Linked DNA regions of Macaca fascicularis. The main gene of each other region encodes a partner of the protein of the gene in region 2 in a complex. Links are inferred from orthologs where the notes say so. Each region holds a gene or a part of one and is shown on either strand. Other genes may lie near its edges. The genes, in order: ZFYVE16, PTPN23 and ZFYVE9.

Region 1 (3,532 bases), on a different chromosome or scaffold from region 2:
AACAGGAACATGATGTAAATATCCAAGCATGCAATTTTCAGAAACAGGAAATTTCCCACAATTGAATCTTTGTTCCTACATGGCCAAATCCTACTCTTTTTGTTGTCATACTCTGCACTTAAGCGCATACTACTTGTGGCATGGAATCCATAAATGTTGATAAAGAACTATGTCTAATTCTGCCAGAACAATTAATCATTTTTAGAAATTTTTGCTTAGAAACCTGGTAAAGTGCTCTGCATGTAGCAAGTATAAAAACACACAAAGTTTGTTGAACAGCTGCATAAAACAGATGGGCTAACTTTTACTTCATATTTCAAAATTCAGAGAAAGAGAGTAGTATTAAAAGACATAAGCCAAAAATAGATCATTGCAGACTGAGTACAAAGAACTATTCTATTTCTTCACTCTTAAAAAATTAAAATTTCAAATTATGTACCAATGACCAAATAAGTAACATTCAGAAACATACTATATATCTACAAAGAATACTTCAAAATGTGCCTCCAAACTTCAGGCACGTAATTCCAATTTTTATTGAATGTAGAGATTTTAAGAAAACAAATCCAAAGCTATTCCATCATGGAACAGCCCTCTACCATTTGGTTACTTTAAGACTGTGCAGTTACTTACACGGCAGAATACACACACTATATTAAGAAAACATAAATTGGGTTTGATATGCAATTGTTTGCATCTTACACCATTTCAATACATTTCACAAATTATAACAGGTTGTCATTTTAGTGAATATCTGCAACACTTTACATTGTTCATGAAGTAGCTACTTCCAGAAGGCTGATATTCTCCTCCAAATTGTCTTTGGCTAGTACTACAGATGTGATTCAGTCCAAACTATATGCCCAAACTGATTAAAATTCTCAGTCTCTCCTAGCTTGAGACCTCAGATCCTGAGTTATAACTTTGACTTGATCTTCAAGTTGAGATGCTTCATAAATATTTTTCTTAAAACAGGGCTATTTAACATAATTTATTTTTCTTGAAATATATCAGTGTTTTTGATACAAAAACATATTACACATAAGAATATTTAAAGCATCAAAATAATGATTAAATTTTTTACATAAATGACAGGACTACAGTATGCCCCCCACTTTTTTGATGTTTGAAGAGGAAAGCTCTGTAACAATTTCAAATACATAGGATTTAACTTATGTTAATATCCTGTTATAAAAAATAACTACCATATAAAGAATTTAAAATATGCAAAAGTAATTAGTTCATTTAAATTTATACTTATACATTGGTGTCAGTGAAAATATGCTGAGTTGCCAAGAAATTTCTAAGGATTAAAGTGGAAGTAAAAAAACCTGTTTCAGGCTTCATTTATTGCTACATAATGACTACTTCAAGGGTCATCTGGCCTGTCGTCAGTCACTCTTAGAAGTGGTAAATACAGTGGTATACTTTGGAAGGAAAGGAGGAAAAAAATAATGCACTGTGATACAAAAATATTACCTATATATAAATTATTAAAGATTTATAAAACACATTCAGAATATGTTCTTGCTATAAAAACAATATACTTAAATATAGAAGCAAAAAGTCCTGAAGCACCCACAATTATTTTAATATCCATTTAATCAGGAAAAACTATATATATATGGATATATAATACATACATATGTAATAATTTGAGAAGAAAAAAGGCAAAATTCTGATTTTAATCCAAAAAGAGTTTATCTAATTATGGAGGTAGGTCTCCACTCCAATTATACAAATAAGTTATCAGCTTTATTCAAAGAATTATAAGTCTAAGATCTCGAAACTGGTTTTTGTGCCACTGAAATACAATTTTGACAGACTTTAGAAACCCGTATTCTAACTGGCATATACACAAAACAGATATTTCCTTCATAAGGTTACATCTGAAAAGAGCCTCATTAAAATCATTATTGGCATAAAGAGGTATACCTAAGTGCAGATACTTTGGCTTAGCATTTAAATAACACAGTAAATGCTACAAATTTCTTAGAAGAAATCTTTGTCTTTTTAGTACTTAAATTAATTGTAAAGCTTCAAAAAGTATGGATCTCTTAAATTTTTAGATATTTAAATATTGTGCTAATGATTTGAAAAGATCATTCCTGCCTAAAGAGTAAAGCTTATGTGTTTCAAAAATCAGACATATTTATACTTTTAGTGTTTGTGGCATTTCAGCTTTAGTGCTGGAGTTAGTTTTAACAAATCAGGTTGCAATATGTAATACGGCACATTCTTTCACTAAAAAAGATGTTCTATAATGAAAAACACTAATTCTATTTCTAATGGTAAACTAGAGTTGGAGGTCCCACCATGGATCACAGGTATCAGAGCACTATCAAGATCATTTAGATAATGCTGAGGCAGAAGTTGGCCTTCAGATCCTGCCTGAAATTCAACCTGGAAAAAAAAAAACATCTTGATAAGAAAATGAACAATCTTGTCTAGCTCAGAATGTGAATATAAAATAAGTGAAATATTTTAAAATATCAGTTCAAGCATGTTAAATAAAATATTGATATATTTATTTTAAAAATTCTACATTCTCCTGTATCTTTTATCTACTACATAAACTATAATTGTCCCTCCCCATATATCATAAATATAAAATTCCACTATGTCATACTTTATGTTTCCTCTAAATGAACACATAAACAAATTAGAGGGATTAAGCTTTGAATAACTGCCGACACTACTTAAATTAAAAACCCCATGGTATTAAAAATACTTAAATTTCAAATTTGTTATTGCAATAATATTTAATATTAGACTCTAACATTGGTGCAAATTACATTTTAATACATTTAGCTAAAAAAAAATTTACAGTGCTTACTCAAATAACAAATAGTGGGTGCTTCCTTGAAAAGAGGGCTTTTAATAGTGAGATAAAAACAAAACCCCTTTTCCAGTGAGAACTATGAGTAAAACATATCCTGGCTGAAGAAAAGCAAACCTTCAGCATATGAACTCACCCATGTTTAGATTAACTATTCTAATGAAGTCTGATTTGAAAATCTATATTGGATGTTGGAAAGAGTTACTTGGATGTCAGAAAGAGAACTTTCAGTTCAAATCTGTTAGGAAAATAAATATTCCTATTCCTAAAAAATTAGAAATATTTTCCTAACAGATTTGAACTGAAAGTTGAAAGAAAAACCAATTGTTTTTACATGCAAAATGATTATCACTCCTTGTTAAGAGAAATATGCATTAAAATAACACCGGGGGCCAGGCGTGGTGGCTCACACCTATAATCCCAACACTTTGGGAGGCCGAGGCAGGAGAATTGCTTGAGCCCAGGAGTTCAAGACCAGCCTGGGAAACACAGTGAGACCCCATCTCTTTAAAAAGTAATAATATTAATAGTAACGCGGTATTATTTTTTACCTATCAAATTGTCCAAGTTCAAAAGTTTGATTATATACTTCTTTGATAAGGATGTGGGGGAGGCCAGGTGCCGTGGCTCACATCTATAATCCCAGCACTTTGGGAGGCCAAGGTGGGCGGATCACGTGAGGTCAAGAGTTCA
Region 2 (2,993 bases):
AGTCTACCTGGGGAAGAACAGTGAGGCCCAGCCTGCCCGCCAGATCCTGGTGCTGGACAACGCTGCCATTGTCTGCAACTTTGGCAGTGAGCTCAGCCTGGTGTATGTGCCCTCCGTGCTGGAGAAGCTGGACTGAGCATGGGGCCTCCCTGCCCAGGCAGGGGTCTGGGGTGCTGTGTGGGGGCCAATGCACTGAACCTGGACTTGGGGGAAAGAGCCGAGTATCTTCCAGCCGCTGCCTCCTGACTGTAATATTAAACTTTTTTAAAAAACCACATCTGTCAGGCACTTTGGGAGCTACTTGTCTCTCTCGGAATTGTTTGTGCACACACTCTGCCTGGACCCTCCTCAGAGCTGCTGAGGAAACATACAGCATGGCACAGGTAGCAAAGCGGGGAGGATGAGCAAGCCAGAACTGCAGGACCCTTAAAGAACTGTCCTGGTAGTATAACAGTTTGGTACCATCCTGTTATCCACGAAAGGTGCTAAGTTCCTGCCAGTGCTACTGGAGCTGAGGCAGCAATGGGCAGACTCAGACATGGGCCACAGAACAGGGTGGTTTATTATTTCAATAGCAAAGAGCTGAAAAATGTCAGGTCTCATAAAGGAGCAGAACCTGACCCAGAGCCTGCAGTACATCTCCACCCCACAGGGGTGCAGACTGGGCCAGGCAGGCCAAAGGCAGCAGAAATGGGAGTAAGAGACTGTGCCCACTGAGAAGCTCTGCTGGGTGTGGGCAGGTGGGCATGAGAGATGTAGTGTAAGGACCAGGTAGGCGAAACCTGTTCAGGTCTTGTTGAGTGTCCACAGTGGATCCAGAAGGCTGAGGGGGTCGTCAGAGGGCTGGGTGGCCCGTAGCCCTTGCCCGTTATGGGCCTGCAGAAAGTTCTGCTTGCTCATCCGCTGCTTGCCCCGCAGGGAGCTATCCAGGGAGAAGGCCTCTGGGGTCAAGGAGGCCAGCAGCTCCAGGGAGGAGGAGGGGGGCCCCGAGCTGGGGGCTTCAGGCACTGGCGGCTCCTCCTTAGGCTGGGGAGCCTCAGGCAGCGGGGAGGAAAGGGGGGGCGGGGAGGAAGATGGGATTGGGGTAGACTCTGGGAGGCTGGCTGGCGGGAGGCCTGGGGGCTCTGCAGGGCCTGGCAAGCTGGCAACTGGGGACTCCAATCCCCCAGGAGGCCGGATGCTGAGCTTGGCAATGGTGGCCTGGATGGAGCTGATGGGCACATCCCCACCGAGGACCAGGTCCTGGGAGTCCTGAGGAAGGTGGTTCTGAGAAGACAGAGTGGGTGAGGAGAGGGAGTCCCAAGGTTGTGGCTGTCCCAGCAGCTTCCAGGGAACCTTCCTCACCTTCTGGCTGATGCTTGCGCTGGCCAAGGGTTTGCATGGAGGGGGCACACCATGGCGCTGCAGGACCTGCTCCACGTGTCTCACCACTGCCTCATAGCAGAACCGGAGGTGCAGCTGCACAGGTGCATTTGGCCAGGTCAGCCAGGCAGGGGCCCGTCACCCGGAGACAGAAGGCCCATCCCAGCCCCACCTGCCCAGATCCTCACCTTCTCCTGCAGCATGTGCTTCCTCTGCTGCCGCATGCGTCGCACCAGTTGAGGCAGCTCAGGGATTCCATTCCCAGCCTCCACCTCCTGCACAGCTGCGTAGAGCAGCGCAAAGGCTCCCGTGCGGCCCACACCAGAGCTGTGCCAAGAAGGGGGCATGAGGCTGGGGAATGAGGCCAGGCCAAGAGCCCGCATAGAGACTGTCAGGCCCACCCTCTACCTGCAGTGCACAACGATGGGCGTGTGCAGCGGCCGCTGATGCAGGTAATGTGCGTGCACCTCCTGGATGAAGTGCAGCAAGTTGCTGGGGCTGTCGGGCAGGCCTCTGTGGGACAGGATGGGGTGGGGAAGAGCCTATGAGCCAGACCTGATCTCAGGCTCTCATCCCTCCCAGCACCAAGGACTGGACAGCACCCCAGACCCCCAGCCACCATCCAGAGCAGTGGACGCACAACTCAGGCCAAGTGGGGAAGTGGAGGTGCACGAGAGAGCGCTTGAGGCTCTGGTCTCGGAACTGCAGGCTCAGCACACGTTCCACATGCGTTTCAGTGCTGCGGACGCTGCTCAATGCCAGGCTCAGGGCACCGTGCACCATGGGCTGGCCCCTCTCGGTGGGGAAGTAGCGTGCCACTTTTTGCTGAGGGACAGACAAACCAAAGCAGGGCTGGTTTTCCAGGATCCCCTGCCCTGCCACCCCACACTGCCCTCGTGGGCACCCAGCCCCTCTCACCTTCTCCATCTCAGCCTCAGAAACCAGCATGACAATGACTGACACTTTCTGCTCATGGACCATGAGCCAGAAGTCAGCAGCTGTGCCGGGCAGTGGGGCCTGGGTGGCCACTAGTGGCGGGCAGTATGGGGAGAGCCCCTCCACGCAGCTGGCATTGATGTAGTCATCCTTGCCTGAGCGCAGTACCACACGGTTACTGTCGTACGGCATGACATCCTGGTACCGGTTTTTCAGTGAGTAGCAGCGGGCGATGGCGATGGAACGGCCTCGGGCATCATGTTCCTGTGCATCTTGCAGTTCCCGCCAGACAGTGTCCAGAGCCCCCACATCCCCCAGCTGGCCCCGAAAGGCCTCCAGCTCCTGCTGCAACTGCCGCAGCCTCTCAGGATGCTCATAGGGGTCCCGCTCAATCAGCCGCAGGGCCTGCGGCCGACGGCCCTCAGCTGCGTCCACCTTGGTGGGCTGCAGCAGGGGCTGCCCACCCCCAGGAGGCTGAGTGCTGCCATGCTGGCTCTCCGGGCTGGAGGAGAGCAGGTCTGCAGCTGCAGCGCCTCGGCGCAGGCAAGGGGGTGGTTCTGCTGCTGGGGGCCGAGGGGGCACAGAACCGGGCCCTGGAGATGGAGCAGGTGAAGGCACTAGGTGGGGACTGGGGGTGGGCTGGCCAGCAGGCGAGGGCCCTCGGATGGTAAGAGGGGCTGCCTGGGGGCCCACGG
Region 3 (4,289 bases), on a different chromosome or scaffold from region 2:
ACATGTAAAATGGTGGTAGCATAGCACCTAATTCATAGAATCACTGCGAGGATGAATCACGGTTTCCCTTAGAGCCCCAGTTTCTCTTGTTATAGAAAGGGTATAGTGATTTTTTTGTGACTCAGGAGTATGTGGCAAAGGCACAGTTAGGATTATACAGGAACAGCTTTCATTAAGAGAGCTACTAGGTGACAGCTTCTCTGTGGTGGCTGCTCAATTATTAAATGAATGATTCCTGTAGTTTCTCATTATTATTTATCATCATTAGGCCATAACCTAAGGTAAGGTGAGATTGCCTTATAACATTTTTTATACATAAAAAATACTGGTTGCATGCTGATATCTGCTGTACAATAGAATGTCATAGGATCCAGTGCATGAGGCTCTATTCTTCTGTAGAGGGGTGTTACATAAACCCATTAGTGAAATTTAGGGAAGTTGCACCCAGACTAGGGAGGATGAAGAATGGAGCATCCATCTTTTGATAGGAATACACTTACACACACACATATACACACACACACACACACACACACACACACAGAGAATGAGAAACAAAAACAGATGAGTACAAAATTGAGCCTAAGAAAAAGAACTGGAACCAATAAAAATTGGAACTAGCATTTATTGAGTATCTTCTATGGGCCAGTCTCTTTATCTCCAATCTGCACAACAACCAGCAAGGCAGGCAGGAGAAAACTGAGGTTCAAAAATGTTACATAACTTGCCCAGGGTCATAAAGCTATAGATGACAGAACTGGAACTGGTAGTGTCAGTATGCGTCTGACACCAAAGTCACTACACATTCTAATATACCACCACTCTGTCAAAAAAGTGTATTTGGAAAATTTGGGGATCAGAGGATTTGGAGAATTATCTTTCCCTACTTCCCCTTTGACAGTCTTGTTTGTTTTTGGTTCTGACGTTTGCACCCTAGAGGCTGATTGGGATCAAATATGGGGCATCTGTAAACAGAATGATTCCATAGCCCCCACTGTGTAATAATTTCCTTCCTTCAGAGCATTACTAGGATTCGGCTGGGATGAGGGGTGGAGGTGGGAGAGAAGAGGTTGGGACGGGGAGGGTGTTAGTAAAAGATGGGTGATTCTTTGCTTACCTTTAAGTTGTTTATGAATTTCAGGACAACCCTTTGGCTATTCTCTTCTCTGGCTGGGCATATATATACATATATATTTTCATATTTGTTTTGTGGGGGTGGTGGTTTAGGTGTTAAGGGTTTGGTTGGTATCTGTAGAAAATTTCTGTAATGATCTACACAGTGGATAAAAAAAAAAAGTTAAGGTCAAAGACAATTCCTTCGTCTGTTTTGGGAGAGGAGTGTGTATATGTTTGAAAAAAAGGTTTGTTCTGGGTCACTCTTCTTTCATCCAGACGCATTAAAGGGATTAGAACGGGGTCTCCCCGCCACCCCCGAAGCCGGGAGAGACAAACGAAGGGATTCCCTTACATTCCTGCTCTCAGGTGCGGGTCCGAGTGACAAGAACGTTCACGTACCTTCGGGAGAGAAGGAAAAGGTGCTCGGGTCTGGCGGGGGGCGGGGAACGTCAAGGGTTTGGTGGGAACTGAGGGGCTTCCGGTTCCCGGGAAGTGGAGTCCCCGGCCGGCCGCGGGCCGCGGGCTGCGCAGGGAGCGCGGGGCCCTCGCCGCCCCCAGGCCGCGCTCCTTAGCGTTCCCTGCGGCTCGTGCCCGGCGCGGCCGCCGCAGTCCCGACGCCGTAGCCGGACGTGGGGTCCAGGGGGCGCTGTGGCCCAGCGGCGCCGGCGGCAGGAGCGGCCACCCGACGCTGGAGGCTTCGCTGAGGATCCTCGCCTGCTGCACCTCGGTCGTCCCGCCGCAGCCTTGCGCCCCCGGCCTGGCTCGGCGGCGCTCCTCCGGGATCCGCGTGGCTGCCGCGGCCCGGGCGCCGATGCGGCTGGGCGGGTGCCGGGCCTTAGCAGCTGTAGCAGTAGCAGCCGCAGCCGCAGCTACCGCAGCTCCTACAGGAGTGGGAGGTTTCGCGGTGGCGCCTGGGGCCGCGCCGGTGCCCTCCGGAGGAGGCTTTCGGCTCAGGGACGACCCCCCTGGCCATGCTGAAGCGCAGGCGGCCGCTGCTCGAGGTGAGTGTGGCGCGGCGCGGTCCGGGGCTCGCCCGCCTCCCGCCGCTTGTGGGGGCCTTGGCGGCAGCCTTCGGGCCGGGCGGACGGGGCGTCCTGCCACTGCGGCCGCCTCCCCCACTCTGCGGTCCTGGGGCCTCAGCCCTTTCTGCCTGCGTCCCCCGGGAGGCTGAAGGCCGTGGGGGGCGACTAGGCCCCGCGCCGTTGGGAAGCCCTCGCCCCGGCCTCGGTTCCGGCGCGGCCCGGTGTGTGGAGCTGGGGGCCGGCAGGAGCACGGCCGCCTTTCGGGTTTGCACGGGCCCGGGCCGAGCGCAGCCTCTTAGCCTGGGCCCTGCACGTACATCCCAGAGGGAGGTAGATGACGCCTGTTTGCAAACAGCTTTGGCTTCCCCGCGTCCCATACCGAGTACCTCAGAATCCCGGTAGTGGCGGGGGAATGGGGAGGAGAAGGCGGCCAGGGTGAGAATTGGGGTGCAGAGAGTGCGGGACCAAGAGAGCCCGTGGTACTCCTGGAGTGTCATTCATGGATCTGACTTGCTCGAGAACAACCTTTTGCGTCTTATTTGAGGTGAAATTTCATCACCTGCCGGTTGCTCAGCCCAGCCTCCTTGTATTGTATCTTGTCTCTAAGCGTGGTCTGCCTTGGAGAAAGCCCCATCGCATCTTTGCGATGCTAAGTTTTCTAGATAAACACTCACAGTTATAAAAACGTCTTTTACAAAGGTCTGTCCTCCCCCCCACCCCCCGCCGCCAGAGGAAATATTTTTATGCTTCAGTGTTCGGTACGAAAATGTTCCACTTAAAGAGATCCAGATAATGGTTGGCAAGAGGATTTTAAGTCCTCTTTAAGTGCCAGCTACTCTAATAAATACCTGAAGGAAATGGGACACATACTAAATTTTAGAAATAAAATGATTTGTTCTGATATTAATGTTGGAAAATGTTAGTACTTACAGTTTGATACCGTAAGTCAGATATTTATGTTTCGTGAGAAATGTGATTACAGGTTATTCCTGGTTTCCTGTTATGTGTGTGAAAGTTATAAGACTTATAGGTACTTGCAAAACTTTTATAATCATGAAAAAATATGCTTTTTGTAGAAAATTTGGAAAGTATGGAAAGGTACCGTGTTGGCTCTTAATAAATAATAATAGGAGAAATCACCCATAATCTCACAGATTGTAAACAGTACAGGTTTATAATGGGCTTGTACTGACAGTGATTTTTAAAATTATTTCTGTATATTAGGTTTAAAATTATCTGACTGCTCCATTTTACATTGCCATTTGTATAGGACCTATAAAAATATTTTACCAAATTACATTGGAACCGTAGTTGAATTCATCAATTGAAACAGAAGAATATGGGTAACTACCTAAAAGATCCCTAACTTAACTTTCTATGCAGCATGGGGTCTCCATGTAGGGAGAAAGTTTGGCATGGTACACGTTTTTGAAGATCTACTGTCTTACATGCTGTAGGCTTGCATTGTTTTTGTCAGATTTTAAGTATTTCTGTTAATTATTGGCTTGATTACCAGTTATTTTGGTAGGTTAATTTAGATTTTTAAAAGTCTAATTCAGGCAAAGTGTGATGGCTAGGCCTACTGGGGAGGCTGAATTGGGAGGACCCCTTGATCCTAGGAGTTCCAGTCCGGCCTGGGCAATGTAAGCAAGATGCCCCCCTCCGAGGCAGGTGGATCACGAGGTCAGAAGTTCGAGACCAGCCTGGCCAATATGGTGAAACCCCGTCTCTACTAAAAATAAAAAAAATTAGCCGGGTGTTGTGGCACGCACCTGTAGCCCCAGCTACTCTGGAGGCTGAGGCATGAAATCATTTGAACCCGGGAGGCAGACGTTGCAGTGAGCCTAGATTGGGCCACTGACTCCAACCTGGGCAACAGAGCGATACTCCATTCGAATACAGTTCGAATTCAGTCGAATACAGTTCTCAGTGTGTCCCTAAAGACCACCAACATTAGAATCAGTTGAGAGTGCTTGTTATATATATAACATAGGTATTATATGTAATATATGGATTCTTGGTCCCTTGAATTGAAATTCTAGGGATGACAATGGCCCAAAGAACTTTATTTTTATCAGTCTCCCTGATTCTTAGGCCTACTGAAGTTTGAGAATCACTGATACAGTAAATTTAAAATTAACTAACCTTGCT

The links.
Region 1: the proteins of PTPN23 (region 2) and ZFYVE16 are in contact, whole or in part, in a crystal structure (PDB 5MK0), measured with the Homo sapiens proteins. The link is inferred for Macaca fascicularis from reciprocal best matches to the Homo sapiens genes PTPN23 and ZFYVE16. Residues at the interface, in NP_056281.1 of Homo sapiens: Phe62, His125, Glu137, Glu138, Lys141, Val142, Cys144, Thr145, His146, Gln148, Cys149, Leu189, Lys192, Ser193, Asp196, Arg198, Lys199, Phe201, Leu202, Arg205, Ile206, Ala336, Leu338, Leu342, Asp348, Ala350, Val351; in NP_001098721.2 of Homo sapiens: Asp2, Tyr4, Phe5, Ala8, Val9, Leu12, Asp13, Leu15, Leu16, Asp17, Phe19, Glu20, Gln21.
Region 3: the proteins of PTPN23 (region 2) and ZFYVE9 are in contact, whole or in part, in a crystal structure (PDB 5MJY), measured with the Homo sapiens proteins. The link is inferred for Macaca fascicularis from reciprocal best matches to the Homo sapiens genes PTPN23 and ZFYVE9. Residues at the interface, in NP_056281.1 of Homo sapiens: Phe62, His125, Glu137, Lys141, Val142, Cys144, Thr145, His146, Gln148, Cys149, Leu189, Lys192, Ser193, Asp196, Arg198, Lys199, Leu202, Arg205, Ile206, Ala336, Leu338, Leu342, Asp348, Ala350, Val351; in NP_004790.2 of Homo sapiens: Glu2, Tyr4, Phe5, Gln6, Glu8, Ala9, Leu12, Asp13, Val15, Leu16, Asp17, Phe19, Glu20.

Annotation. Positions count from the first base shown.
Region 1 is NC_088380.1:84,416,470-84,420,001, reverse strand, and holds the end of ZFYVE16 (zinc finger FYVE domain-containing protein 16), read right to left. Parts: coding exon of another isoform or gene 3,522-3,532; exon of another isoform or gene 3,394-3,521; intron 2,404-3,393; coding exon 2,245-2,403; 3' UTR 513-2,244; downstream 1-512.
Region 2 is NC_088376.1:110,332,266-110,335,258, reverse strand, and holds the end of PTPN23 (tyrosine-protein phosphatase non-receptor type 23), read right to left. Parts: coding exon 2,281-2,993; intron 2,188-2,280; coding exon 2,003-2,187; intron 1,876-2,002; coding exon 1,771-1,875; intron 1,690-1,770; coding exon 1,551-1,689; intron 1,459-1,550; coding exon 1,345-1,458; intron 1,267-1,344; coding exon 787-1,266; 3' UTR 540-786; downstream 1-539. Other genes in the region: SCAP (sterol regulatory element-binding protein cleavage-activating protein), read left to right, coding at 1-136. UniProt on the Homo sapiens protein: Plays a role in sorting of endocytic ubiquitinated cargos into multivesicular bodies (MVBs) via its interaction with the ESCRT-I complex (endosomal sorting complex required for transport I), and possibly also other ESCRT complexes.
Region 3 is NC_088375.1:182,581,298-182,585,586, reverse strand, and holds the start of ZFYVE9 (zinc finger FYVE domain-containing protein 9), read left to right. Parts: upstream 1-1,372; 5' UTR 1,373-1,515; coding exon of another isoform or gene 1,516-2,369; intron 2,370-2,517; coding exon of another isoform or gene 2,518-2,635; intron 2,636-4,289. Other genes in the region: uncharacterized protein, read right to left, coding at 1,231-1,272, 1,516-2,369, 2,518-2,635. UniProt on the Homo sapiens protein: Early endosomal protein that functions to recruit SMAD2/SMAD3 to intracellular membranes and to the TGF-beta receptor.